Schizosaccharomyces pombe: one gene and its partner. The gene in region 1 interacts genetically with each later gene. Each region holds a gene or a part of one and is shown on either strand. Other genes may lie near its edges.

The links.
Region 2: of hfi1 (region 1) and htb1, a mutation in one rescues a mutant of the other (synthetic rescue), as found in Schizosaccharomyces pombe (one study listed by BioGRID).

Annotation. Positions count from the first base shown.
Region 1 is NC_003423.3:3,571,471-3,587,204, forward strand, and holds hfi1 (SAGA complex subunit Hfi1/Ada1), read right to left. Parts: upstream 8,250-15,734; 5' UTR 7,986-8,249; coding exon 7,769-7,985; intron 7,727-7,768; coding exon 7,500-7,726; intron 7,449-7,499; coding exon 7,349-7,448; intron 7,231-7,348; coding exon 6,755-7,230; 3' UTR 6,563-6,754; downstream 1-6,562. Other genes in the region: sphingosine hydroxylase/sphingolipid delta-4 desaturase Sur2, read right to left, coding at 1-791; SPOM_SPBC887.16 (uncharacterized protein), read left to right, coding at 3,451-3,780; SPOM_SPBC887.17 (transmembrane transporter), read left to right, coding at 4,562-6,439; Man5GlcNac2-PP-Dol translocation protein Rft1, read left to right, coding at 8,865-10,448; his4 (imidazoleglycerol-phosphate synthase), read right to left, coding at 10,625-12,130, 12,237-12,356; nat1 (NatA N-acetyltransferase complex subunit), read left to right, coding at 13,789-15,734. UniProt on the Schizosaccharomyces pombe protein: Component of the transcription coactivator SAGA complex. SAGA acts as a general cofactor required for essentially all RNA polymerase II transcription. At the promoters, SAGA is required for transcription pre-initiation complex (PIC) recruitment.
Region 2 is NC_003421.2:1,403,833-1,419,362, reverse strand, and holds htb1 (histone H2B Htb1), read right to left. Parts: upstream 7,005-15,530; 5' UTR 6,880-7,004; coding exon 6,499-6,879; 3' UTR 5,727-6,498; downstream 1-5,726. Other genes in the region: lmb1 (plasma membrane LMBR1-like multi-pass membrane protein, human LMBRD2 ortholog, implicated in signaling), read right to left, coding at 380-1,729, 1,925-2,092; exocyst complex subunit Sec5, read left to right, coding at 3,213-3,385, 3,452-5,726; hta1 (histone H2A alpha), read left to right, coding at 7,441-7,839; SPOM_SPCC622.07 (uncharacterized protein), read right to left, coding at 9,480-9,866; SPOM_SPCC622.06C (uncharacterized protein), read left to right, coding at 10,179-10,547; SPOM_SPCC622.04 (uncharacterized protein), read right to left, coding at 12,264-12,686; SPOM_SPCC622.03C (uncharacterized protein), read left to right, coding at 12,996-13,394; SPOM_SPCC622.02 (uncharacterized protein), read right to left, coding at 13,904-14,287; SPOM_SPCC622.01C (uncharacterized protein), read left to right, coding at 14,608-15,057. UniProt on the Schizosaccharomyces pombe protein: Core component of nucleosome. Nucleosomes wrap and compact DNA into chromatin, limiting DNA accessibility to the cellular machineries which require DNA as a template.

The DNA of each region.
Region 1 (15,734 bases):
CAGAAGGTAAAGAAGGGCTGGCTAAAGTTCTTTTGGAAACCGTAAGGTTGGTGATGAAGGTCATGGTAACGAGCATTATTGGCAAAGAACATTTGAAGAGGGTCATAAGGGAATACGTATCCACAGTGATCATCAACAGTCTTCAAGGTAGAAAGGGTGAAGAAAATAACAGCTTGTTGAGGAGAAAGACCGGCGGCGAGATAAGCAACACCAGCGCCAAAAGTGTCCAAAATCAAACCTTCAAAGGGATGGTTGTAAAGGGCACCCATAGCATAGGGAACTTGGAGACGATGGTGATGGGCATGAATCATGTTGTAGAGCTTCTTGTTGTAGTGGAGGTAACGGTGCCAGAAGTATTGCCAGCTGTCAATGATGAAGAAAGCAAAGAAGTATTGGAATGCGGGAACAATAAAGTTATAAGCCAATTTAGGGGCAAAGGGAGCAACTTGTAACAAAGCAGGCAAATTCTTGCTGAAGAAAGCCTCGTAGCGTAACATTTGCTTAGCCTCGTCAATGGGTTCAGGATAGCCCTCGAACATGGCCAATGCGATTCCAACGACGACTTCGCAAAGTTGTTGGAAAAGCACGGCTTTAACAACAGCCATCTGAGGAACACGGTTGCGTCTGGCTATCTCCTCCGGAGGATGAATGCGATACTTCTCAAAGACAGGTAATTCAATGTAATGCAAAAATCCGAAGAAAGCAGAAGCAACCCAGTAAATGATGACAGGAGAAACCAAGGAAACGGTCACTGGGTTCCAGGTAGTTAACATTTCAACGGTGGTAACCATAGTGGCAAGAAAAATTCAAATTCGAAAATATAGCAAAAAGTTAAGTGAAAGTGTAAGAAAAGAGAGAAGCTGATTAGTTATATATATGCGAATATATATCTATGTGTCTAGACTGAAGAAAGAAAACAGTTGGTACAATATATACAAATCACAAACGGCAAGAAATGTGATTTATACAAACAATTGAAAAACGATGAAACCAATAAGGAACCTTTTAAAACAACAAGTAATAAAAAGGATATTTAAACGAAACAAACCTCTTTATTTGTTCGATTTTCAATAATTTGTCTTTGGGAAAAACAAACTATCAAACACAACGATTGTGGCGGAGGTTCGGTGAGCTAGTTTGCGATGGTGACAATTTATATAATGCAAAGCAAAGTTTAAGGTACAAGCTTTGCGCGGCTGTCTTTGTCGATTTACCGATTTAAGCAGCGAGATGTAGTTAATTTTTAAGAAACGGAACTTTCGCCAACGAAAAAATCCGAAATTGATCAGTATGGACCAACAAAATTAAATTGATAAATTATATCGATCTGTCTCAAGGGAGAAGGGAAGGCGAGAACAAAAGTAATAACCGTCGGTGTTTTTAGACACAAATGGAATTACAGATAAATTAGAAACTTGCAAGTTTTCAAGTTTGAACACTAAAAGATGTCAAAAAATTGAGACGTATTGTATTCGGCAATAACAAGACCTTGTTATTTTAACAACCAAAAACTAAGTGCCTACAATAATTTGCAATTGAAACTATTACAAGAAGGGATTAAAGATTAAGCTAGATTGCTTGACCCTAAAGTTGTGAAAGACTTTTTGAAAAGTAGAGGAATTGGATGTTTTTGAACTGCGGAATGCAGGTTAAAACTGCGATATATATATTTTGCTGGTGTTCTTGAAAACACGAGATTTTTTTACAAATCGTATCATCTCATTGTAGGCAAAATCTGATGTTTTTTTTTTGCTGGTAACATGTGATGTAGCGGATCTAAACTACACTACACTATATTAGAGCGGGAAGCAAATATATCTCGCTATAATTGTTAGGGACTAAAAAATGTGGCTACAAGTCGTAGCATTCAACGGAAGCTTTTTGTTACTTTTTACTCCCTTTGATACTGGGATTTTTTTAAACTATCGGAAGGGTTAAAGTTGTACATTCCGCTGAACACAGATAGTAAAAAAAATCGTTTGACAAAAAAAAAAAAATTTGTTTTCCGTTTTTTGTTTGGAATCCGTCTAGGTCGTTAGTAATTTAACAATTTCAGCGAAAGACAGCAATTGAATGGGTTTTAATTTTCGGTACAAAGAGAATTGACTTTTTATGAAGCGACTACGAAGGACACTTGATATTGCTATTTTCAACAAAAAATAACATAATGTCGATAATTAAACTACCACGGCTTGTAAATAGAAAATAGCACTGAAGCGACCTGTGAAATTGTCAGCGTGCTATTGCTAAACAATGATTCCGTGTAATTTTATATGATTGTGCTTTCATAACAGATGTGCATGCGTAGAAAGAAAAGCTATAAACAATCAACATAGAATACCATTCACACTAGGAGTAGCATACCTTAAACTCATAGGATCCAATGAATTAACTTGCAAATCCATTTAATAGTTAGATTGACTGATTTGTACCAAATTGGTAAAATGCCGGTCCCCATCCCCTCTAAAAAAAGGACTCTTTTATTTACCGGGATGCCATTGACATCTCTTCTGTTTTGCATGTTTTGGAATTGAAAATGCAATAATAAAAAGGAATCAATAATTTTGGATTCCTGTCTAATAATTGACGGTTTTGTTATCTTGGTTGAAAAATCCATCCCAGCTGCCTAAAAGCTGCTACAACCTTTGTTTAATTAGTGCGACACAGTTAAAAATACTATATGTTTCGTAATACAGTGGATGATTTCCATTAAACTTTTGACTAGATCAGCAGCGATTTTTAAAGTACATTATACCTTAGCCGGCTAAAAACATATGGATTTGGAAAAACTACTAATGAATGTATTAAGAGTGAACATTACAGTCGGGTGCTTTGCAGTACAAATATCCTGGTAGCTGCATTAAGAAAAAGATATAGTAAAGCTGTTAGTACAAAAAAAAAAGTAGTAAATAATAATATAATAAAATAACGCTTGATAGTCTTTTAAGAATTTCATTTTTCGAATACCGCCTTGTGAATTATGCGTAGTTTACTTGTATCTATATCGTTTCAAATTTTCATACTTCAAGGATTTCCCTAAATGAATTCTTGAATCCCCCACTGAAGTCTTTTTATCCCACTTTAATTTCATACCACAGTTAAAATCATTTGCTAACCTTCTATAGCATATAAACTTATGTACCCCCAGTAAGGTCTTTTTCCCCACTTTAACTTTTAGTATTAGCTGCACCTACCAGCATATGTCCCCCACATGTGTTTTTCTTTTTACTATGAAGGTTCAATAATGGGGGTATTCAAGTCAAAATAATCTTGTATCTGTACCGTCAGAGAAAACTCACCAAACGAACGAGCACAAGTATTAAATCTATAATCACTTACCTTAATGATTTCGTTTACTTTAATTATCTTATAATTGCATGAATTTTGATAAGCGATTGCAAAAACGAACAAATGTGATATAAATATGTTTGTATAGGTGATATCTTAAACATGGCTCGGACCAATTTACAATATCCTTACAAAGTCCTGTGGTGTGCTCAAGTTAAAGTCGTTAAAACGGGTTTAATTAATTTTTTTGCTCCTAGCATTCAGCGTCAACGTGAGAGAGTATGTGAGGGTTATCTACATGAAACCCCCCTGTTACTAATGCAAGTAGTAGAAAGAGAAGCAATAACTTTAGCAAAGACAGAATTCAAAAATAGTTTTAGTAATCTTCATTTTTTCTTTCTTTTTTGGCTGCTTAATTTCATTTTATTTTTCAGAATACATTTGTATTCTTGCAATTTTCGCATGTCGATTATTTGTGAAGAATACTACTAATGTTATCATTGTTACTTTTAAGAATTTTTTATATCTTTGGAGTAGGTTATTGGCAGTGGAATTTTGAGTTTATCTCATTTTTTGAAGTAGCGAAATTGACGCAGTATCTGATAGCACAGCTATTGGCTGTTAAATATAAGCGCCCAAATTTGACTAGTATTTAACAGTCCTTGGGTCCATCAGCGACACTTTGCATTTTTTACAAACTTTTTTCTAAACACCAATTTCTATTTCTTTGCAGTAATAAAGAGGTCCTGGACTGAAAACTCACTGTTGTACTTAATTAGGTGTAGGTTTGCATCCAGTTGATAAGGATTATAAAGTTTTTTCAATCTTCACGTTGAGATCGAGATTCATCGCTTAGCAGAAAATTTTTAGATTAGTGGTAGGTCGAAAAGGTTCTGGATTTTAGAAAACGGCTTTGATCAAACAACTTTAAAGATTAGATTGCTTTTATCTCGATCTTTGTTTACAATTTCATCAAAAGTTTTTTAAATTGCTTTTACTGTTTTTGAGGTTTGGAAGCAAAATCGGTTTCTTTCCTTGTGGGTTTTGGGATTTCTCTAATATTTGTATCTTTAATAAGTAATCTATTTTTGTGAAAAGGGCTTTTTGCTTAGCATTAACACGGATCTTTCCGTTGATTTGTTGTGTTTTATTTATCCTCGGCAGGTTATTTGGATACCTAGTGTAATATATATACATATATTATAAGTATTCTCGTTTTTATTGTTTTAATATTTCAATCCTCTTTTCTTTTTTTCCTTAGTTTATCGAGAAGATGAGCATCACACAAAAAGTAAGGAATTGGGTCGAAGAGTTCGACGTGATCGTCGCTCGTTCGGCATTCGGACGTTGGTTTCGTCTAGAGGGATGTGGTCATCCTCGGGAGCGTAAAGGCAGTCGCTTTTCTCTCGAAATTAGTGCTGGTCTTACTACCTTTTTTGCAATGGCTTACATTTTGGCTGTCAATGCTACCATTCTCGTAGATACGGGCGGCACTTGCGAATGTACTGAAGCTAATCGTGATGATTGTGACAAACTTGATGACTATGTACTTTGCAAAGAAGACTTTCATCGTGATCTCGTCACAGCCACCGCTGCCATTTCTGCTCTCGCTTCTTTCTGCATGGGTCTTTTTGCCAATATGCCCGTGGGTATGGCCCCTGGTATGGGTTTAAATGCTTATTTTGCGTACCAAGTTGTCGGATATAATGGCACTGGACGTGTTTCCTATCGAGAAGCTCTTTTAGCTGTTTTTGTTGAAGGATTCATCTTTACTGGTTTAACTGTTATAGGTCTACGCCAATGGCTGGCGCGAGTTATTCCTGCCTCTTTGAAATTTGCTACTGGTGCTGGTATTGGTTTGTATCTCACAATTATCGGACTCAGTCCAAGTGCTGGGTTAGGAGTCATTGGGCATTCCTCATCTGATATTGTCGCTTTAGGAGGATGCCCTCCAGAATACCTAAACGCTGATTATAGCTGCAACGGTCATCAATTACAATCAGGAAGAATGTGGGTAGGTATATTCTGTGGCGGTGTTCTCACTGCTATTTTAATGATGTACAAATTTAAAGGTGCTGTCCTTGCTGGAATCGCACTTGTCACTATCACAAGTTGGCCTAGACGCTCATTAGTAACTATGTTTCCCCACACGCTTACAGGGGATTATAATTTTGATTTTTTCAAAAAGGTTGTTAGCTTTCGAAAAATTAACCGTATTCTTGTTGCCCAACAGTGGAACGTTACAGGCGGTCAATTTGCCATTGCACTGATTACTTTTCTGTACGTTGACATTATGGATATGACTGGTACACTTTACTCAATGGCTAACTATGCTGGTTTGGTCGATCCTCGTACTCAAGACTTTGAAGGATCCGCAGTTGCTTACATCGTCGATGCTTTAAGTATTTCTATTGGGTCACTTTTTGGTTGCTCACCTGTTACTGCTTTTATTGAATCCGGGTCTGGTATTTCGGCTGGCGGTAGAACAGGGATTTTAGGTATGGTTGTAGGCATTTGCTTTTTCATTTCTCTTTTCTTTGCTCCTATTTTTTCAAGTATTCCAGTCTGGGCTACCGGTTCTACATTAGTACTTGTCGGCAGTATGATGATGAAGAGTACTACATTGATTAACTGGAGTTACCTTGGTGACTCCATTCCTGCTTTTATTACAATTGCTTTGATGCCATTTACCTACTCGATTGCGTATGGCTTGATTGCCGGTATTATTTGCTACGCTCTACTAAACTCCATTATTTATGCTATTGACAAAATGTCACGCGGTAGACTTGTACCGGCTGACTATAATCAAAAAGAAGCTTGGACATGGCGTGTCGAGGGGGGTTTATTGCCTCAATGGGTACGTCGCCTCTTTAAGGGTAACCGCAGATTTTGGGAAGATCCTGACGACCGCAAAGCTATGGACAATGCCACCTTAGAGATGGCTACTAGTAGATCTTATTCGGAGGACGGTAAAAATGAGAAAACTACTCATGAGGACGTTACAATGAAAGAAACATCTTTAAAGAAGATGGACGATGAGCGCATTTCTGTTGACGAAGCTGTTGGCGAAAGTGAAAGTTTCAGTAATAGACAACAGGATTTCCGGACGCCTTATGCTGGCATCGATATGGATACTGATGATCGTATTTAAACAGTTTTTACTAATACTATATTTTAGCAAATCTTGAACAATAATAGTATTCTGTCGGTAAATCTTGCTGGATAATTACGTATTTTAGAATATCTATATTGCTTCATCTTACATATTTCGCAACCTGTTATATATTAAATTCATTACTATAAATTAAAAAAAAAAAATATGTGAAAAAAATCTAACTTAAAAGGATAATCAAGTCTTGTATATTTGCGAGCTGAAACGCTTGAAGAATAGCCCTTGAAGCTTTTAAGATTGTAAATAAATAAAGCACTTCTGACGATTAGATTAAAAAAAAAAGAACCTCCGCGGTTATGAAAGCACTTCATCTAAAAGGGAAGCAACAGAATTCCTATCACTTTGCGCATCATTGCTTGCAAGCATGTAGCTTGGCGATTCTGCACAAATTGAAATTTCATCTTCAGTATAACTATCATGAAGCAAAAACGGCATTCTTAACTTCTGTGGATACTGTTCGACAAAAGCATGAGGTTCAATAGTCCATGCTAGATTAAGGTCATTAATGGTAAAACCTGCCGCATCATTTTCAGTATTTTTTTGTCGAATATTTTTGTTTAATATAGAAAAGCATCTGCTTAGAATGTTCTTTAGATGGCTTTCTAACCCAGCCAATATAATATCAGACACACCCTTTTGTACACCACCCAATAAGCCATTTTCAAGAGAAATAGCTGTAATTCGTTCTTTTAACGATTCTGAATCTGGAAGTTCAAGTGTTTCACATGCTAGAGGTGCAACATAGCCGGCTTTAATATCATTTACAAATACTAATGAGGTTAGTGAAAATATTACCCAAATTGTGGTTAAAAGGAAATTTCCGTTAATAAAAATTAAATGGTTACACTTTTGAATACTTCCTTAGAACCTATTAAAGAATAGGCTTACCTGAATTCAGCTTGTCTCGGGATACAGGAATTTTAGGTAATTTTGCAATTCTCGTTTCCAGCAGCAATCCTGAGATCAAACTTGGTGTAACTGGCTTTTCCTAGATATGTTTGTTAGAAAGGTGATAAAAAAGACTTATAATAAAGCCTACTTTTAAAGCAGTTTTGATCCTAGCCCGGTCTTTATAACTTAAAGACATTACTATTCGCTTGATTAATCGAACCTGTGCATTCTGCGAACTAATTTTTTTATGTAAAAATAAACTATTATCGACTTTCTTCCGTTTAAACCAAGGTAAATGATGTAGAGCACTAAAGGTATCATTATTTTTTTGCATCAATTTGAGAATATGAAAAATGATTGAATTGTGTAGTTTATCTAAAGTGTCAGAACAATATTAAATAAAAATTTATATCTTACCAAAATTTGATTTTCCAGCGAAAGTTAACAGCATCGACTTCATTTCCTTTCTGCTCAACTGTCCAATTAAGAAGTCCGTCATTGTTTTAGTATACACCTCGAAACTGCTACCCAAAAGTGATTGCATCTCTGAGATTATTTGCGAAATTACTGTGTTGGGTTTGTGCCCATTCGAGCTAGCGCTTTGAACTTTTTGTACAGTAACTCCTTCTGTCATTTTTCTAGTACAATTTAATCATCAAGGTCATCAAAATAAGTTTATGACAAAAAAAAATAATAGCAGAATTAAAATAGAAAGCTTAATCGCATAAGTCCCAGTATTGGTGTAAAACACAAGTAAATTGTTCAAACTTGTAGCTAAAAAGCAGATGCAAAAGTAAAGCTAAGTACAAATAAAGAACCTATTTTTTTTAATAGAAAGTTGTCTACAAAGGTTCTTAATGAGTTTCAAACAAAAAACTTTCAGACTTAGTAGAATGATGCCTTAAACTAGAAGTAGTCCAAGTTATTACATGCCAGCAATGCTTAATTTACGGTACGCTTCACTAAACATCAAACACTCTTCAGCCTAAAAAAATTTTAGTATACAGTAATAATCATCTGTATATTCTTGAGTATCTGATTTACTATTAATTATCTAACCACAAAATTATAAAATAGGAAAACGAATTTTAATTGTACCTACGTCCTTAAAATCAGTCGTGAAATGGGTTTGTGATTATTATACTTATGGAAGTTTAAGGTAACCTGGTATTAACAGCATATGAATTACAAGCAGTAGAAGCTTACTGTACTTTAACGCATCTTTAATACAAATATGGCTGTATAGCCGGCGGGTTAAACATGGCAACTCTACTTCGTTAACTCAAGTATATTGTAGAATTCCTTAATGCTCTATGTTAGTAATGTGTCCTGAAAAGTTAACTGCGCGCTCAAGAGACACCCATTTATGCGCCAAATCCACCAAGTAAATATCTCATTTATAAGTTAGAATACGAATTACATAAAAAAAGTTGGGACATTAATGGAAGAAAGAGGTAAACAACTATTGACTTGTAGTATAATTCTTTGAATCTAGATCAGTACCAACTAGCTAATGGATAAATCTGATTCTTTGCTGCAGTCGTCCTCGAAGGGACTGCGCTCCTCCATATTTTTTCAAGGAAGTTCGAGAATATTGACTTTCTTCTTAAACCAACTGACCATTCGGTTAACTAGTCCTAGCGCCTATGCATTTTCTTCTATTCATTTTGAGATATTACAGAGTACGATCCTTTTCCTCAGCAGGGAGTCGGTTCGATTAGCTATGCAAAGAATTCCTTCGGAAAATGCAATAATTACCTCTACTTCTACTGAGTCAAACAAATCAAAAAAATTAAGTGATCAGTTGCAATTGATCAAGAATACTTCTTTGATCAGTGTTTACATTGGTATCGTAATATCGCTTCTGGTTTCTTTATTTTACTTCTATTCACTTCCTAATTTTCCTTATTCTAAAACATGTATTTTTATTTACACCGTTTCTAGTTTCATTGAGTTGCTATCTGAACCATACTATGAAGTTCTTCAATGGCGCCAGAAGTTCTCCAAGACTGCTTCAGCAGAAGGACTTGGAACAATTATTTGCTCTTTATTGTCCTTTGCAATTTCTGTTTTAGGAAGGAATAAGGCACCGTCAAGTCTTCCTTTTGCCCTCGGTAACTTGTCAGAAAAAGTAACCATTTTTTTTACTTTAAGGTATTTTGCTAAACAGCCATTCTCCATATTTCTCCACAAAGTGGGAGAAAACGAGAGGTATATATTTTGGGATAGTTCTACTCTTCGAATAATCTGTTCACATACTTATCAAGTGTTGTTAAAACACCTAATCACAAAGGGCGATAAGATAATGGTAGCATGGTATGCTTCTCCTTCTGCTCAAGGTCCGTATGCGCTAGCTTCCAATTATGGTTCTTTATTGGCGAGAATCGTGTTTCGACCAGTAGAGGACCATTCTCACATTGTTTTTGCTCAGTTAACGCATTATAAGAACAAAAAAGATGAAAAAAAGGCTTTAAATTTGTTGGCATGGATTTTAAAATTATATTCTTATATGAGTTTGTTTATCCTTTTTGGAAGTAATTACTCGGACATTGTTCTTTTGTTTGGCGCAGGAAGTAAGTGGGCTTCTCCTGATAGCTCTAGCATTTTATCTTGGTACGCAATGTATATTCCGTTTATGGCTGCAAACGGCGTGTTGGAAGCATTTTATGTTTCAGCAGCCAACTCTTCTCAGTTGTATGATCAAGGGAAGTGTTATTTGGCTTCCGCTGTATTTTATTTTATTACTGGAAAATTCCTTCTATCATGGTTTAATTTAGGCTCTCATGGATTAATCCTTGCAAATATATTAAATTTATCACTGAGGATATGTTTTGCCTTACGGTTTATTCTTCACAATTATAAAGATTTTAGTCTCCCGAGGTCTCTTCCTAGGCCTTTTTTGCTAGCTCTTTCAATTCTTTTGTCTATTATAAGCAGCTTCCTCGTAAAACATTGGAGAGAATCTAAAGTCCCCTTTTTGGTATACTTCCTGTCCGCGCCCTCACTGGCCATCTTGTACAGTTGTTTTATAATTTTAGTCGATAAAGACGTAAGAGGATATGCAAAAATTCTGCTGAGTAAATATTACATAAAGTAATAAATACTACTCTATGTCAGATAGTTTTAATAATCTGGATAAAAATTTATATTATCCAAAACAAATTTTATTGGCATATGCAATTTCAGTGCACTATTGACATCTAATTTAGTGCTAAAAGGGGAAGGAATTAGATACAAATATTTTTTTATCGTAATTCAGACGGACTTCGCTAGCTAAGTGCGAACCAGAACGTCGTGTATTGCCAGATATTCTTTGACGTCTTCTATGCGACAAGTTTGTCGATGAAAAATTCCGGCGGCAAGAGCTGCATCACAATCCGTTTCTTTAAATACTTCTTCAAAATGTTGGGGAATACCAGCACCACTTGAAGCTATTACTGGAATATTCACAGAGTTTTTAACAAGACGAACAAGTTCTATGTCATACCCAGCATTTGAACCGTCTTGATCCATACAATTTAATAGTACTTCACCAGCACCCATTGCTTCACAAGCACGAGTAAGTTCAACAACATCAATATCACGATATTCACGACCTCCTTTAACGGTGCACTGATACCAACAATATGCTTCTCCATTAGGTCCAAGCCGAGATGTTTTCACAACATGGTGTTTAGTATCTTCAGGAACTTTTACATACTGACGTTTAGGATCAACCGAAATAACAACTGCCTGATTACCATAGGCCTTAGAAATTGTTTCTATAGCAGTTTTTCCACTCAATTTCTTCCCATTTTCGTAATACTTTTCTGCGGCATAAACGGCGTCACTTCCAATAGATACTTTGTCGGCACCTGATCTAAAGTAAATACCAGCAACTTCGACAGCAGGATGAAAAGTCCCATCAGGATCTGATACATCTCTGATTCCACCACCTACTGTTAAAGGTACAAATACTGTTTGAGCTGCCTTTTCTAAAACCTGTAACATAGGTGCATCGGCCATTGGACAATTTCTAAATGAAGTGATGTTCAAAAAAACGACTTCGTCAGCGCCTTCTTGAAAATATCTTTGACATAACTCCACAGGTTTTCCAAGATTTCTAACCTCGCTTCCAGAAGATTTTTCACGGACATCATATTGATCACCTTTTGTAACTACAAGGTCACCAGCGTCGTTGGAACGGACATCTAAGCAAGCAATAATACGCTTTGTTAATCCGCCAAAGGAGTTCTCTATAAGTTTAGATGCTTCACCACTTATAGGTTGCTCATAATTACCGGTTAAAAATGCCTTTAAACAACGCAAACCTGCAGATCCACTTTTTTCCGGATGAAATTGGGTAGCTAAAAAATTATTCTTTACAATAGCACCTACAAAGGTTTCATTTCCATATTTCGTGGTAGCAATTTTGAACTCTGGAGGAAGGATAAGTCCCTTTTCTGGAATCATATAAGAGTGCACAAAATAAAATTTGTCATGTGGGCGCATACCAAAAAACTCTTTTGAAGTGTCAGATCGTACAGCACAAGAATTCCAACCAATATGAGGGACGGTCTTGTCATCGTTGTCAAACCTTTGGACTAACCCCGGAAATACGCCCAACCCTTTAGAATGTGGTGCTTCAACAGACCCCTCGAATAATGCTTGGATTCCAACGCATACAGCCATAAAAGGTTTGCCAGACAAAGCATAGCGACGCAAGGGTTCTAAAAATCCTTGCTTTGCTAAGGAATCGCATACGAAACCAAAGTTTCCAACACCAGGAAAAATCAAGCACTGAAAGTATAGATTAGTATTTGATGAAAACGAAAAAAAAAACCGATTTGACTTAGCCTTTATAATGTAGATGGTAACAACATTTTTAAAAACAATAATGACATACTTCAGCTTTTTCAATATCATGGGGATTCCTGATCCATTGTGTTTCAAACCCTAAATACCTAACGGCATTGATTAAGGATCGAACGTTTCCACTACCATAATCAACTATTGAAACAATCATAATATGAGTAATGCAAAATGTAACTTCAAATTTGCTTATAATGTATACTCATGGCACACCGTCGATTGCATTACGATAGCGTATTGCGATCAACTTCATTATCTTACAGAGTCTGTAGCACATAAACTACTACAAAACTCATTGATGCGTCCAAAGTATTTTTTTTGTTCAATGTCAGACAATATACGAGTGATGCAATGCCTAAAGGGGTAAGGTATTTTATAAAGCTTTATCAAAGTAATGTAACTATATTTTCATCAATCAACGTATTTTTTAAAACAACTTTATAGACGTTCCGTTATTTGTCAATCTTGAATTAAGATGCTAGCATTATTTGGTATTGCTACCGCTAGTATAATTCATTGTTATTTGAAGGTTTTGCTACTTTGAGTAATGCAGTGTATGCCAACAATAGTAGATTTATTTGTATGATCTTTTGCAGAAAATAGAAGTAAATTAGAGCAAAAGACATTTATTATCTTTTCGTTGATATTCTTTATGTCTTAAATTGTTAATTCTTGATTAGCCATAATGAGTAAAGGAAATACAACTTAACATGGCTAATACTGAGACTTAGTATTTAAGAAGCACAATCAAACAGTGATGAATGTGATTTAACCGACATAATTCTTGTAAATTTTATTCGATATTTGATTGAATCCCTTACGTTCATACTATCAAGAAATAATCTTTTGTCTATTTAGAATACTAACGATTTTTCCCTTACGGCAAAACCCCTGGAATGCAAATGTGAAAAGCTTTGGATTTTCTATGATAAAACGATTAAAGAATTATAGTTAGGTTCCGTTACCGTTTCTATTCCTTTGCTCAATCCTTAAATATTTTAGGAAATTAAAATTTTTCAGCCAATCTTCTTTTTTTTTCTAACTAATGCGAAACTACAAAGTCGTTAGTATCTTTTGCAAAATTATTGTTTTTTATAATAAAATTAAGACACTCTTCCAAAAGGTATTGGAATATAAATTGGAGATAGGGTAGACATTTGTTAATAATTATACAATTTAGTTGTCGCTTAGAACCAGGAAAAAACCTTCAGCTTTCACTCGACTAAGTTGATGAGGAACACTTAAAAATAAAATCAGTGATACTTTTACTTGGGTATTTATGAGTAACTATATAAGTTTAGTACCAATTTATTGATCTTTTTTTGGTTATTTATGCGTAAATCACTTTTCTTGGCTCAGCCGATCGTTCGTTGATGCGTTGGTAAAATATATTTTCTTCTAAAATATTCAGGTTCAGGTTACTTGTTTGTAACATTTTTACATATTTTTGGAGTAATTATATTTTCAGATCAAATTGTTATACGCACTGAAGTATTTACTGTTACAATTCCTATAGGGCGCATGCAATATTATAAACGTGATTATTGACTTAGCAGCAGGGTGTTCAATTAAAGTCTTATCCTTCGATGAGTAAATTGTCCGAAAAAGAAGCTTTTCTTTTTGATCGTTCTATAGATCAATTTGAAAAGGGACAATATTCCAAAAGTCTCAAAACTATCCAGTCAGTATTAAAAAAAAAGCCTAAACATCCCGACTCCGTAGCTTTGCTAGGTTTAAATCTTTGCAAACTGCATGATAGTCGTAGTGCACTTTTGAAATGTGGGTATGCTTCTTCTATCGATCCTAAATCTCAATTTTGTTGGCATGCTTTAGCTATTGTTTACAGAGAAACCAAAGATTACAACAACTCACTTAAATGCTATCAGAATGCATTAGCAATATCTCCTAACAATGAATCTTTGTGGTACGATGCCGCGTATTTGCAAGCTCAACTTGGTTTGTATCAACCCCTTTTTGATAATTGGAATCGACTATTGCAACTGGATTCAAGTAATTTAGAATATCGATTATGTTTTACGTTGTCTGCTTTTCTTTCTGGGAATTATAAAGAGTCGTTGGAACAAATTCAATATTTAATCAGTTCATGTAATTTATCCCCTTTAGTTGTTTCGAGGCTTATTTCATTTTTACCTAGAATATGCGAGCATATCGAAAACGGTAGTCAAACCGTGTTAGAAATTTTATTAATGAATCAAAATTCATTCTTAAATAACTTCAACTTTGAGCATATTAAGGCTGACTTTGCATTTCGCCAGAAAAACTACGAAGAATCGATATACCTATACGCTCGTTTGCTCATCAAGTTTCCAAATCGCTTAGATTATTCAGAGAAATATTTGAATAGTTTATGGAATTTTTACAAAAGTGGAGGTTTAGCTCTTGATCTCTTGCTAAAGAGAACTGATTCCTTAATTAAAACATTTTCAGAGATTCTTCAGACTGGTATATCTGTTTTAATTTTCTTGCTCTCCAAAAATCTGGACTACGATTTTTGTTTAAATCACTTGATCTCGTATTCCATGCATCATTTTATTCCTTCCTTCATCAGTTTACTTAAAATCCCACTTAAAACAAATGATGCGTTCTCTAAGAAGTTAATTACTATGTTGAGTAATTTTAGAGAAGGCGATTCTGCTAAAAATATACCAACACATAAACTATGGTGTACCTATTGCTTATGCCTCGCACACTATAAGCTAGGTGATTATGAAGAATCGAATTATTGGCTCAATTTAGCAATTGATCATACACCGACTTATCCAGAACTTTTTTTGGCAAAAGCAAAAATTTTCTTGTGCATGGGTGAAATTGAAGAGGCACTGTGCTCATTTAAACGGTCAGTGGAACTTGATAAAAGTGACCGTGCTCTAGCTTCTAAATATGCAAAATATTTAATACGTATGGATAGAAATGAGGAAGCTTATATTGTCTTGTCTAAGTTCTCACGATTCAGATTTGGCGGGGTATGCAATTATTTAGCAGAAACTGAATGTGTTTGGTTTTTAGTTGAAGATGGTGAGTCCCTATTACGGCAGAAATTATATGGGCTAGCTTTGAAAAGGTTCCATTCTATTTATCAAATTTACAAAAAATGGTCATTTTTGAAATTTGATTATTTCACACAATGTGCAGAGGACGGTGAATTTCAAGAATACGTTGAATTAGTAGAGTGGTCCGATAACCTGTGGTCTTCAACAGATTATTTGAGAGCTACTCTTGGTGCTCTTACCATATACCTATTGTTGTTTGAATCCAAGTTTAATATGTACGGAAATAAAGCTGAAGAGATATCCCATATGTCGGAAGTTGAACAAATTGCGTACGCTAGAGAGGACAATAAGAAAATCATGAAATTGCAAAAAATAGAGGAGGATAAGATTAAAAGTTACATCCCTTCTGAAAGTGAAGAGCCGTTGGTTATTGATGAAGACTACTTTGGGCATAAGCTGCTAATCACTGATGATCCATTAACAGAAGCTATGAGGTTCTTACAGCCAATTTGCTGGCATAA
Region 2 (15,530 bases), on another chromosome or scaffold:
AATTTTTTTAAAAAGCTATGAATCTATTAGATGATTATGATGCATACGAAAAAAAATAAATCAGTCTTTGAATTATTCTCACAGATGCTTCGAATACGAAGTACCCGTAATTATGTAGACTTTTCATGTAATAAAAGGATCATTTGATTTTCTAGTTCCGCTCAAGGCGCCTCCTTTATTCAATTAATTTTAACTGGTATTTGATAGCTGTATGAAATTATTATTTATGAGAATCCTTTGAAGAATTTACTAAAAAGAATTTTTTAACGTTATGTAAATGATAGACTTGTATAAGAAAATAGTTGAGAAATAACAATTGCTGTTAAAAATGTGAAGAATAGACTAAATTATTAAAATACATAGGGCTCATAACGGTAAATTAAACATGGGCATTATTTGTACCCAAAAGAAGGGCTCTGCCTTCAGCTAAATAGGCAGCCGAGGTTTCATTAAACAGATCATCATCGTTTTCTGAATTCAGTGATGAATCATCAAAGTCATCGGAAGAGCTGGCACTGGATGATTTGCGCAGCGTAATGGAATAAATGAATTGTCGCAACCTATATTTTAAAGAAATCATAGAAAAAATAATCGGCAGTAGTATAAAGGTTGGATAACGTTTGCTAATAAGATTTCCAAGTGGTAAGAGGTCAATACTCTCACCATAGAATTGATGGAATTGGGTGGGATAAGGTTGTAGAGAAACAAAGTTATAACAAAGAGGAAGCGTTAAGCGACAAAGTTGAGATGCGAAGTATATCAAGGAGGCCGTATTTGTAGCTCGGAAAGGAACTAATGCATAATAGTAATGTGGCGCAAATTGAGTTCGCATCAAGGATTTGTACGTGCAGTATCGCATGTAATAAACAAATAAAAACGATACAAAAATAGAAGTGGCAGACGAATTGGTAAACTTTTGTAAGATAATACCAACCAAGGAATATTGAGTGTGCAAAAACACTTCTGATACCACAATGATTACACTCATTGAAGCCATAAATATTGAGAACAAAATTCTAAAAGCTGGAAGAATCCAAACGTAAAATGCATATGCAACGACAGGGTGTATTGGAATATATGAGTCTGGTAAGTATAGACGATAAGAGCCAGATGCTTTAGCAGTTTTGATCAGCATAATACGATTATATTCTTTTACCATTTGATTCCAAGTAGTTTGTAAAGCGATCACGTTAGACATTCCATTTGGAGAACTGTGAGGATTGAATGCGTGATCAGTAAGAGATGAAGTAAAAAAATCGCTGCTAGATTGATTCCGGCCGTTATTTAAGCTAATGGATGAAGATGGTAAAGAGTAGCTCTCGAGCCGAGCTTGAAGTTTGCTGTATACTCCGACAGCCTGGCGCTCAAGAAGCGCGGCACGTTTTGTAATAAATGCCTTTTTCCACATACTAACCGGGACATACACAAAACCATTTCCCAGAAGAAATATGACAAATAAGAGTCCCCAAAAGTATGTAAGGGAAATCACCAATTCTTTAAAGTTGGAGAAAGACATAGTTCGCAAGGCGAATCGCAAGTACGCAATTACGACACATGTCAAAAATGTCAAAAGTAAATAATATCTAAGGTTTTTGTAAAAAGAATCACTAAGACGACTTCTCGGCGTTGAAAATTTACTTTCCATATAACCTTGGACAAAAGGTAAGATGATCCAACTGAGCACGAATGTTAACCAATATAGGAATCGCCATATTGAGAGTGAAACATCCTACAAATAAGTTAGTAAAATTTAAACCATGAAATCAGTAGAAGAGTAATAATTGTATTCATAAAGCTTGAAGTAATTTCGATAAAGTGTAATCAATCTCGCAACAAGTTCAAGAAGGCTTTTAGAGGCCCTATATAGTACTTGAACAATTAGATGACTTCCAATTCTGTATTTGTATGATATTTAGCTACCTACCCAAGTTACGTCGATAGGAATTAACAACGTTACAACGAATGGTACATATAAGCCTAAAAATACGAAAATTCCAGGAATTGAAATTAAAGAATGTGGTTCAATGTATTTATATATCCAAATTAAGGTGAAAAGTGCTGGTATAAGTAATAATAGCAAAAGGCCCAACATTTCGATGAGGCAAACGGTAGGTGTGATTGGAAATCCGAGATGGGTCATATACACGGGAATTTTGAGGAAGTGCAAAAATACTTCAAAAATAGCTTCGAATATAATTTTATTATCTTGAACGTTTTTAAATCTTAATAAACACAAAATCCCTACATTGAACCAACTGCTCATCATTATTTAATTATGCTATCCACATGTAAATAAAGCGACGAATATGCACTAAATATATTGAATTTGATAAATATTTTTATTTAAAAAATAGCGCTTAAAAAATATTTTTACCAAACTTAATTATCCTAACTGTGAAACTACAATGTGAAATTTCGGGCATGTTGTCTACAAATTGAATATTTTAGTTTTTAGATTTCGTTTGTACCGTATATCATTGAAAATTATATCGCTTTAAATTATTTAAAATAATTCAAAATTTAATAAAAAAATTTTGATAGTATATATAAATCTCTCACGTCTCATTATAACAACTTGAAACTGAGTTAAATTATTTATTTTATAATGAATACAAAATCCTTCAAAAGAAAATTGCACATATTTATTAAGCTATTAAATAGCGATTAACTTATTTCAAGTTTCTATAAAGCTCAAATGAACTCATCGACCCGTTAATGTTGAGAATCACATGGTTAATATATTTTATTTACAGAAATTCCATTTGGGAGGTTTCCTCCCTGGAGGTTTAATTAATAAATGAGGATTTAAATAATTTATAACAATCAGGTTGGTAACAAAAGGTTTATAGTTAATTTTTGTACTATATTTGTTTATGAAAAGCTCAACTCAGAAGTATTACAGAACTAACAGATTCCACAAATTTATCAAATACATATGCTTCAGTAATCGGTTAAGAATTTTTTTTGGATTTGCAAACTTAGTGAATCTCTTAAATGCGTACATATTTACAAATTCGAAAAATACTTGTTCTACTTGATTCAATTTAGGAACATGCAATTTAAGCTTAATTGGAAATTTTAAAAGTATAAAAGAATGATCTATGGACCAAAGGGATTAAAAAATCGATCGCTTTGATGAATTCCAATTACTGTGGCATTGCGTTCTCTGCCAACTACCATAATACAACAGGTGAAGGGTCTCTTTTCAGAAAATGAGTGCAGACGAAGAGATCCTTGCTCATTATGGTTTGACAAGTTTAAGTCAAGACTACTGGACTGAGAAGCCGGACTTTGCGATTGCCAATGCCTCAGTAGATGTACAAAGTCCTACTACCGGTGTTCATCATGAACGTAATCGTTCAGAAGACATACTTCGTACGGGTGGGTAAGTATTTTGTTTAGAAATAATTACAAAGAAACTGGTGAATTTATTTTTCTCTAACGATTTTAGCGCTACATCCGAAACTACCAAAGATGCTAGTGCAGCTGGACCAGTAACACCATCATTTGCAATGAAACGTAGTCAAACGAGCGTCCAACCATCTATGTCATCTCAAATAGCTATTGGAGGTATGAGAAACCCGATGGCTACACGTAAAATCGCTGGGACATATCGCGATGCTCCTGATAACTCTATGCAACAGACGAGTACGGGAGTTCATCGATCATCTTCGTGGTTAACCACCGATGGAACTCATCAGTTATTATCGTTGATGGAAACAAACTTTAATAAATTTATTGCCGCGAAGGAAACTATAGATAATGTTTATGCTCAAATTATCAGCACCTTGAGTCATGCTGGACCCGCTAAGACAATGGATATGTGCGAAGAATCAATCTCAGGCGCACTTCAGCAACTTCAGCTTTTCAACACAGAATCAACTAATGAGGTCGATATTTCTTACGGTGAACTATTGGTCATGCGGGAGTGTGAGGCTCTATTCACATACCCTGAGAAATTTCGCTTATATCACAAACAAGAAAAATATAGTTTATTAATGCAGGAGATTGAAAATGCTAAAAAATTATATGAAAAAGATCGCGAACGTTTAGCAAAGGTCAATCCAAAGCTCGTGTATTTAGTTGATCATGCTTGGGAAATTATTCAAGCCACTATAGATGGCATTTGCGCCTCTATCTGGAATCAAATTTTACAAAGTCAAGGAGATTTTGCTTTTGTTGTCCGTACATTATGCGATTTGCTTAAATTAAAACCCAATCCCATTAGCGGACGGGACCCTGTACTATATGCTACAGTCAGTCAACAAAAATATTTGTACAATCTTATGAAGGAAAGATTTTCCTATTTTGAAAAAATAATTAAGTCTAGACAAGAAGACTTTTCTAAATTATCGTGCACGCGTGCATCGCCCATGCTGGTTTGGCGTGCTGTGGCTCGTGGATGCAATTTGGATTATACACTTAGGGGACGACCTGAAGTTTTTGCAGGAATGCAGCTTATCGAATGGGCGAATGCATGTGTTTTAAAAATTGTTCGTGAAATCAAGGAAGTTGAACTGTATGCCAAAGAATTCATTAGTGGCATTCAACAAGCTAGCTATCCAGAAGCCGCCAAGCATTATGGGCGTGACCCGAAGCAAATGGGTGTAGTGGTTGAGAAGTTGAATTCTCAGTGTTTGGAAATGGTTTATTCTTTTGTGGGTGAACGTGGTGAGCGTTTAGAAATGGATGGAGCCTTTGTTCTTATTCAATTACATTACTTCCAAAGAGTTGCTGATTTGCTTCCCAAACGCATAAGAACAGTATTTTCTATGGCCGCTACCCGTTGTATTGTTGATACATGGATGCTCCAACATGCGCCTCAATCCAAATCAGCTAATATAGAAGAGATGTTCATTGTAGATGCCAATGAAAACCAGGTATTGGAACCGGAATTAATGGTTGTGGATGTATTACGAGAATTGAATAAGCTGTACATACCACCTCATCGTGAAGAGATTGTTCGAGAGATTCATCATGCGTTTTATAAGGTTTTGTATGCGAATGCAAGGTTCCCCAGTATGAGCGTTTCGATGGCGAACTGGGAGTCCGATGTATGGTCTCTTGCTTCTTCTACCCTAATTGATTTCGTGCAGCACCGTAACCAGCATGATATGAAAAAGCTTGCTTCTAAAATGACAACCTCTCTACCTGTTTTCTCTACCTCCATTACCCGCTCTGATGTTTTACACTTCGTAACTCGACTGTTAAACTTGCGTTCACGTTTGGTACCTTACCAAAAGTTTCTCTTACAGACATTTCCTCTTAACGAGGTTTCTCCCTCCCTCGATCCGAGAATTTCAAAATCTCTTCGAAACTTGCAAGATCTTTATAAATTGTTGGCCATACGGGATACCAGTTTTTCCAATACCACACCCTCTTCCATATCCAAGTTGAGCATTCAACCACCGACCTTCCAATTGTTTTCCACTCTAGAAACCATATACTTAGAATTAAAAGACTCCATGCCTCCTAATGAAGCGGCAGATTGGATGATAGCCACAACGTCTTGTATGCTCGCTCAGTTTGCTTTACACTCACCATATGCCTTTTTCCACGACATTCCTAGTATTTCGCATTTCTTAAATAAATGCCTTCCACCTACCATACTCGACTTGCTACAACAAATCCAAAGAAAGGCAGAAGCCAGCTCCATAAGTCCGACTACGGAAACAGCTACGAAAACACGACTCAAGTTTCAGTTTATTGAAATGATCTTTTCATAATATTATATTATTATTAATAGTAGAATTACTTTACAATCTTTCCAAACATATATAAAATCATTTGCATAGCAAACATACCAAACCACATCAACTTCGCACACTGGATTCTTTGGGATATTTTGAATGTGAATAATAATATTCCATTCACCATCAATCTAAATCACCAACATAAACAATAATAATAATAATAAATCCATTAATAAACCAAGATGCCCAGGAGTGGAACGGGAAATGGAGTGTGAGAAGTGTCTGTATGAGTGCCAATGACACAAATTATTTCCATACATGGCGGAAAGGAACAAACAGTCGAAAAAAAAGAAACTCAACTCTCCAACCAGTGGTGATAGCTATAAAATGCACAAGGGAAGAAGATTAACCAAGGGAAGAAAAAGCATCTCGTCCCCGTCGAATCGAACACAAAACCCAATTTGATCCAGTACGACTTGTGCAAAACAAAACACCTTTCAACTCCACGAACCGGTCATAGAAATGAAGAACCATGTGTAATGTAAAAAAAACTATCGCGTGATGTGCTGCACCTGTGTTGTTGTTGTCGTCATTGTACGGGGAATAAAATAGGAATGCGATACAAAAGGCGGAAATGGAAAAGAGGAGGGAACGAAAACGTTAAAAAAGGGAGGAGGAAAATATATATTTCCAAAAGAGCAAATAACCTACCCCCTTTTGTTTCGTGAGGTTGTCATTGTCGAAATGGAAGGCTGTGGAAACTCATCAGCTGACTAAAAGACGATTGCACAATCGTGCGATTCGCTTACTGAGCAGAAGAAGAATACTTGGTGACGGATTTGGTACCTTCGGTAACGGCGTGCTTGGCTAACTCACCGGGAAGAATCAAACGAACAGCAGTCTGGATTTCACGGGAAGAAATAGTGGACTTCTTGTTGTAAGCAGCAAGCTTGGAAGCCTCAGTGGCAATACGCTCAAAAATATCGTTGACGAAAGAGTTCAAGATACGCATGGCTTGGTTGGAAATACCAGTATCAGGGTGAACTTGCTTCAACACCTTGTAAATATAGGATGAATAAGTTTCCTTTCTGTTTTTACCACGCTTCTTATCAGCAGACTTCATGGTATCCCTAGGAGCCTTACCGGCGGGAGCCTTGGAAGCGGGTTTCTTTTCAGCAGCAGACATTTTTTACGATTTAAAAATTGGTTGTCGAGAGAATCTCAAAATTGATGGACTGAACTAAGTAATTGCAATTGTAGGAATTTGATAATCCTAAACTTTCGTGCAATATCAAGTTGTTGGTATTAACTAACATGCCTGCAGGCGACGCGATGGTTATATACAACTTGGGCATCACAACCCTAACCCTGGTGTTTAGCCATGCGACGCGGAAACGTCATCTACAAGAACGCGTTAGACGTGCTTATACGGAAGATTAGAATTAGTATATATATGAAGGGTGCGCGCTCCTATGTCTCCTTTTCCCTATATCGCGACTTTTCGTTGTTTAGGATACCTTTTGATCCATACACGTATTGAAATTGATATAAACAATTGATCCTTAGTTGATAAGGAGATTGATTGTCCGTAAAGGCTGAAATTGCGAGAAAATTCTGTTAATTTCACCAAATTTGATCCATTCGCTGCTTCATCGTTGACTGTTATCTTTTTTCATTAAAGAAGGAAAAATCTTTTTTTTTTAACTCAAACTTTTATTTTTTTTATTTAGTTTCAGTATTTTTCGTCATGTCTGGAGGTAAATCTGGTGGTAAGGCTGCTGTTGCCAAATCTGCTCAATCCCGTTCTGCCAAGGCCGGTTTGGCTTTCCCCGTTGGTCGTGTCCATCGTTTGTTACGTAAGGGTAACTATGCTCAACGTGTTGGTGCTGGTGCTCCCGTTTACTTGGCCGCCGTTTTGGAATATTTGGCTGCTGAAATTCTCGAATTGGCTGGAAACGCTGCTCGTGACAACAAGAAGACTCGTATCATTCCCCGTCATCTTCAACTCGCCATCCGTAACGATGAAGAGTTGAACAAACTTCTTGGTCACGTTACCATTGCTCAAGGTGGTGTTGTTCCCAACATCAACGCCCATCTTTTGCCCAAAACTTCTGGTCGCACTGGAAAGCCTAGTCAGGAGCTGTAAAGTCAGTCGTCAAGTAAAACATTTTGAAAGAGGATGAAGGGAAAGACATTGAAAAGTTGTAAAGGACCTTTCTTTTTTTACAACCCCGCAATACTTTTTTTGGTTGTTTCTCGCTTCTAAACCATGTTTGGTTCTTTTTCCTTTTGAACTTTTTGCGTCTTTCTTTTTCTTTGCTGTTATTGTTTTCGTTATGCCTGAACTTTAAGGATGTTTTAGATGCAGCCAAGTCATTCTCTACTAGTTACTTTTACTAGTACTTGAAGGGCTTTTGCACAAGTAATTCCTACTTGAACTGGCTCCTTTGGTTTTTTTTATTTCTTTTTTATTCTCCCTTAATTATAATATTGTATAGTAATGAGTATATTTTTCAAAATCCTATATGAGAGTATGTATCAAATGAATAAATAGATTGTAGAGTGGAGATGAACAGATTGATGAAAGGAGTGTCATTAAACATTGAATCGAGCAGTACATGCAAAAGAATAGTACTTAATTTTTTTTTACAATTAATGCTTTTGAATTTCCAGAATTTTTTTTCGATGCAGTTTTTTTACTCTTCTTTCGTGAAACGGTAGACGTTTGCTTCTTTTGAGTTTTTTCCTTCGCCGATTTCGAAGCTCGGTCGCACCAGTACAGCACAATTCCAACTAAAAGACCAAGCATTTCATAAATTGAGAATGCTTAGATTTGGTAATTTTCACGTTTATTTTCCCTTTTTTTCTGTCTATATTTCTTATGGGCTATTTAGTCATTACGTCCAACCGATTGGTTAATGAATTGTACCCGGAACCGGTAAAGCCAGTTAACGAGAATATGTAAGCAATTTTTGGCAAGTTGGTGAATTTCACAAATTCATTTACCCATAATGCTGCTTTTATCGTTATTTATGGATAGTGATTGCTGTACGTCTCTTTATATGTTTGAAAAGAATACAATAAATAGGAAGGAGTTTGGAAAAAAATAGCTAGGTTCTTATGTAACTGTTTGATTTTTTTTTTTTTTCTTAGTTTTTTATTTTAATTTTAATTTTTGTTAGAAATCGATTTCATCGTATCTATTTAGGATTTTTCAATATTTTTTCTTTTTTGCCAATGTATTTTTATAGTTGTATGAAAATTATAATACTAATATCAGTCAATAAATAGCCATTGCAGTTTATTATTTTTATATTATATCAAAAAATATTAAAACATTATAATAAAATTTTTGCATGGCTCTTAGAAAAGCATTTATCGTAAAATTCGAGTTTGTTGGATTGTAAAATAGTAAAAAAATTCCAAAATATTGAGAATATATTCTGGCAAAAATTTCAGATTATTATACGGGAAAAAAATAGCCATAGAACAATTACAATTGTTACAGAAGTACAGAATTAAAAAACAAAAAATTTCATTACAAACATAGGAAAACTATTTGACACTACCGATACAACCAGCTGACGATGCCGTTGATTCCGTTAAACAAAAGTGTTTGAATTATTTTTAAAATGAATTAAATATATTAGTAAAAAGGTACGAAGAATTGAAGTTTGTTAAGTCTAGCAAAAATTTAGCGATAAACTTCAACAGTAAAAGGATTTGGCTTTACCAAAGGTTGATCATTGCGCTTCAGATCAATTGACTAACCATTTTTGTACTCCTTTAATCCTGTTTATCAAGCTCATCCATAAAGGTTGAAGTGTACTTTGGAGGTTCATTAGATTGACTTTCACCAACGTTCTGGTTCAATGAGTCTGGTTTGTTTAAAAACTCAGACTCAGCATCTGGTTTAGGAATAGAAATATAATAGATAATCACCGTTATTATTATACCTATAACGCCAAGATTCAAAAAAACCCAACAAAAAAAAGAAAAACCATTGTAATTTTTTACATAACACACAATGTCGACAACGTAATTGAGGAAAAGGAAAATAATAGAAATATATAGAAGCCGGTGAATTATCTTATACTTTTCTTTTGCGACCCTTACACACTCTCCGTAGGTTAAATCCTTCTTCACATATAAATGAATGTCCAAGGACGCCATATCGAAACGAAAGAGAAAGAAAGATGCAAATTCAGCTATTGGAAATTAAACTTTATTCTTAATTGTAAACATTTACCAATCTTGAGTCAACAATAGACATAGGAAAATGAAATGCCTTTCCCGAACAGTGAGATTGAAAAGGCTAACTTCTCTTCAAACCCCTGCTAACTACTGCGTGCACAATCTATTAACCACAAATAATGAAATTCAATTAAATTAAGTTTTCAGCTACTGAAAAATCCATTTTTCTTATATTTTCAAATTTCGTGATTTAAAAGTGTTCAATTAACTGCGTTTTGTTAGACGAAAGATATGAGCCCAAAGGAATCCATCGAGTTGCAAGAATTCCAGTCGCTGCTTCAGGACGAAGCATATGAAGAGTTAATTAATAAAAAAACATATGAAGCTATTAAATATCGGAGTAATGATGGTATTTTACCAATTATTATTACTTTATTTATTTTCTCTTTTGTTATAAGTCGAATGATCATATTCTTTATAAGTCTCTTCAACAAAAATACGTACTGTGAACTGCCTGCTGTAGCCGATGCTATCATAAACAGCATAGCTTTAGTGTGTATTATAGTCATACTTTACTTCAGTTCTCGCAAGCTCAACGTTGAGATTCGACGAGGTGAAGTGGAAGACTATCGAGCAAATTTGGAACGAAATCAACGATGAAAAGAACAATTAATTTTTTATATTTGAATTGTATATGGGACTTTATGCATATACCGTTTTGCTAACCTTTGAAAAACTTATCAACCGCAATTCTCTCTAGTTGATAGGAGTTTATGAATTGTAGTAATGAGAAAGAAATTTCAACATCAAGAAAAGGAAGGGAGGAATTAGAGGGTGTTTAATTCTTAAACCATCTAGTTGAGATTGACATTTGACTCGTAGGGAAAACAAAATCGACATCGAATGACAAGCGAAATAGAAAATTAAGATTTACGATGAATATACTTCCTTTACGAAAAATTATTTACATCCATTTATAGGAAGAAAGTATGACTTCATGAAATTTCATTTCGATTTTAATTGCTGAGACTGGATTCTCTAATTTTTTTTTAGGTTCTTCGCTTACATAGTGTAAATAAACACTTGGATAGGCGTATAAAATACAAAACACATCCATAGACATTAAAACACCTAGAACTGAAAACAACCAACGTAAAAAAGGTGAAGGAGAGCGCTGAGAATCAAACAATTTAGGATACAAAAAGCATTCACAAGCATAGTGGATGGATAACACTGCAAAAGAGATAACCATAGTATAACAATGTTCTTTACTTTTGATCAATCTTAGGAGCATCATCTTTAGAACGGCCATACTGTGGCCATGTTTCTTAGTTAAAATGCAATGTGAACGGCACGTGTCACAAGAAACAAGAAAAATAGAACGTTCAAAGACCAAGTAAAAATATTGGCAAAAATTGTGAACGCGGTTTATAGATTAACTCCTTCATTTCGACTCAACGTTCAATGCCTCTATCAATTAAAACGAATACAAATGAATACTTAAACAAGTTTAGCAAGAAATGGAAGCTATTTAAAAAAATGTCCAGCAAAATTCAAAAAATAAAACAGTAAAAAGTGAGGTTTGTGGAAAGAAAAGTCCGTAAATGTAACTCTTAACTAAATTGTGAAACCCCTGGTCTGGTTTAAATATTTAAATCATCAACCACAGAGAAAGATTTTCCTATTATTCGACTTGAATTGATAGCAATATTTCAATCTGATAACTGAATTGATTTTCAGACATTAGAAGAACTTTGTTGACGTGGCTATTTTGCTTGTATCATATATGATGAGTCCAAGTGAATCCATTAAACTGTACGAATTCCAGTCGCTGCATTGAGGTACTGCGTACGAAAAACTGATTGAGAAAAAATCAGATGAAATTTCAAAGGGACATCACGAAAACTATTTATGGTTTGGATTTCTTCCTGGACTATGCTACGTGGATTTCCGCTTACTCATTATGATAGCAATTATGTCTGATGGCTTTAAGTCTCTTAAAACCGTGAAAGTAGATGTGTCAGATTTAACAGTAGATTTCATTCTCAGTTGTTAGCTTGCTATTCTATAATTCTCGAAAGCTCAAATTGAGATTCGACGAGGAGAAGTTGAGGAGTTTCAAAGGGATCTTGAACAAGAGAATAACTTTTCTTCTGATTACATTCAAATGAGTGACATTACACCTGTATACTAATAATTTGAGAATACATTCAATATGGTAGTTCAAAATGGAAAAATAAATAAAATACAAATTCTTTAATTTCTTTTGTTTTAAAGAAAAAAAATTGTCACACCAAGGAAGAATATAAATAATAAACCTATAAACATAACACAAAACAAAAACAAGGTCGATGCAAATGCCAAATGGATACAAAATTAACTAGATTCAAGAATTGTTAAGCCCTCTCGCGTATTTTTTTCTTTTTCTAGTTCAACTGCAGAGGATGAGGCGTACTCTAAAGGTTCATTAGATTGACTTTTAAGGAAATCCTGATTCTTTGACTCTTGCTTCTTTCGATAGTCAGGTTCAGCTTCCGGCTTAGGAATACTATTCAAATAATGAAATCCCATAAAACTTACAAGAAGAATTATTAAAGTCAAGAAAAAATAGACGAATAATAATGAATGACTAAATCCCTCAAAATAATACTTAACATCAACAACACAATTGGCAAAAATTATGAAAAGGAAAACGTACAAGAGCCATTGAGTTTTTTTAAACACATCGTTCGCAACATCTGAACACTCCCTATAGGTAAAATCCTCCTTGATAACTATTTCAATGTCAGGTTGTGTCATGTTGATAAATATAACACAAAATTTAGCAGATATTGGCCAGAAAATGAAAATGCTTTTGCATAAGAAGAATAAATATTTATCAAATAATACAGAATATTTAGGTCGGGATTGTGTAGGCAGAGAAATTGAATATATTGGTTGAATATCAAAATCGTTAAACCTCTGGTCTTGCGCTCCAATTACTCATTAACAACGATTGTCGAAATCCTTTGACTTTTAAGCATTTTATTTCATATTAATATTTTTTCGCAATTTTTCTTGTTTTTAAACGGATTTGTTCAAACTAGCTGTTTTGCCTCCCACAAAAATATGAATCCAAAGAAATCCATTCAACTATGGGAACTCCAGTCGTTACTTAAAGGTGCCACATACAAAAAACTAATTGAAAAGAAAACGTATGAAGCCGGTAAGGAACGAGCTGATAATTATGACTTTTTGTTTATGTCTTTTATCTCCTTCATCGTGTCTTGCCGTCTTTTCATTCTTGTGTTTACTTTCATCTTTAAAGGTTTTCCATCAGCTATTCAAGTAATTGCTATGATCGATGCTGTCGTAAATGCTTTACTCATACTCATAGTACTTGCGATGCTCTTTATAGGTTCTCGTAAACTGACAGTTGAAATTCGACGAGGTGAAGTTGAGGACTTTCAAGAGAATCTTAAAGCAAGAGAAGATACATTCAACTCTTCTCCATATCAGAGGTATTAATAACACCTTCATATATCGCTTTTGGGCACCTATTCCTTTACGCCTGTTTCACTTTGTTATAAAATATTTCGTTTCCATTCCGCTGCCTTTAATCTTATTACTCCTTTAATATTTATTCAACATTTAAGTCACTACTAATCTAAAAATTAACTTAATAATTCAATACTATTTTTATCTAAAACGTATTCGTTTCATAAACTTGTCTCGTAATGCGAAATGGAAGTGTGTTGAATACATCGACCCTGAACGAACTCATCTTCCAAAATTTAGAGCACTGTTCGATATACTGGTTTGTACTATTCCTATATTTTCGACACCTCTTCATATTTCATTTTGAACTTCAATTCATTTAATATATCATTCACAGATTAATTAATAAAATACAAATTATCATCTATTCTACATGTCTGCCTCAAAAACTCGGCTCACAATGTCACCGATTATGGCATTCTCCTTATTATATTAGACAAGCACTTCAAAAACATAATTGAAACAAAATATACGGCCAATTAAGGTGCTTCTTGAGCGGGACTGGACATTTGTTGCATAGGAATTTGCACCAAATCCTCTGGAACGGTGACTTTAAGCGGATGTTTCGACAAGAAATAGTAAAGGATGTTTCCAACAAGCATCAACGTAGAGCACAAAATTATGGGCAACCCGTGCTCCATTGTGTCTTTCCTGGATGAAGGATGCGACATTTCTCGAATGAAAGCGATCAGGCAGTAAATGAACGCAATTCCGAGCCCAGCAAAGTTACTAATCAAAAGAGGAAGTGTGTATTGAAATTTGTTTAAAGAGGACACCCATAACTTGTGAGAAACTTCTGGGTCTGGGGAAGAATTCGGTGTATTATCAATAATTGCTTCAAGTTTCGAGATATTTGCTGCCATCGTGAAACTGTTCAGCAGAAAGAAAAGAATCAAAACAGATGTCCAAGAATAGAAAAAAAGAAAAGAAAATCAAACTGTGAATGTCGCTCCTTCAGCGCTTTCCAACACCGGATTTCTTGCTTCGGGTAGGTAGGGTTCAAGGACATTTTCCACATTTGGGCTAACCGCAGTATCCTCCCTCTTTACTCAGTGTAGCAGCGGGTATAGTGAAAACCACATCGGAATGACGTTGTTGTAATAAAAAATACCTGAAAACTTTACTTTGACTTTTTGAAACGTACTTATTCCTAATTCCTTCCTGTAAATTCACTTTTCCTACGATGACTGTGGATAATGTATTCATCCATGCCGTCCCTCGCGAGCAAATTCGACGACGTTACTCTTACTTCGAAGCATTTGAAAAGAATTGTCATATACAAGGAATTCTTTCAAAACGAGCTCTTTACATGCTAATCCCATGCTTCATGGAGTTTGCGGTTGGCTCCATCGTTTATAGTTTTGGTGTGCCGGGATGGGTGTTGGGAATGAATACTGTGTTGGCGGCTGGATTCCTTGTGATGTTCCTGTTCCTTGTGTGGCCGTGTTTTCAACTTGTAGATGAAAGACAAATTGAGGAACCGGGAGAAGATGAAATGGCGCTCAATGCCGGTGGTTATTATCCTTATGCCGAAGAGGTACCTCCTCCCAGTTATCCATCGCTCGAAGAGGAGAACGAAGGAAACGAAGAAATAGAAGAAAGTGAAGAAATGAACACCCTTTTATCAAAATAAAAAAAGTGGTTCATATGAATGGTGTGACGGTGGCGCTGATTTTCAATCCGACTCAATCCATTCAAATGAGAATTCCGTAAATGCAGTGCAATAAGAAAGCATTGGGAATGTGATTAGCCAACGATATGTCTTACTGTGTTTGATTCTCGTATTTTCATTTAATTTATTGTGTCTCGAAGAACAAAGAGGAAATTACCCGCGATATTTATTTACTTACATTGGCGTTCCCTTTAACTTCCAAAACACTTTTTTTTAATCAAGGAGATTTGGTTTTATTATATTAAATTGTCTTTGTACTTGCAATTATACTTTTTTTCGATTTTTTATTTGTCGTTTACTTCCAACTCAATGAATCATGATCTTTCAAACATAGCTGGCCTCTTCAATCCTTGATGATGCGTGTTTGCATGTATATTTGCATACAATTATCCATATCCTTAGACAAGTACGGGTTATATATAGTATTGAGGCTA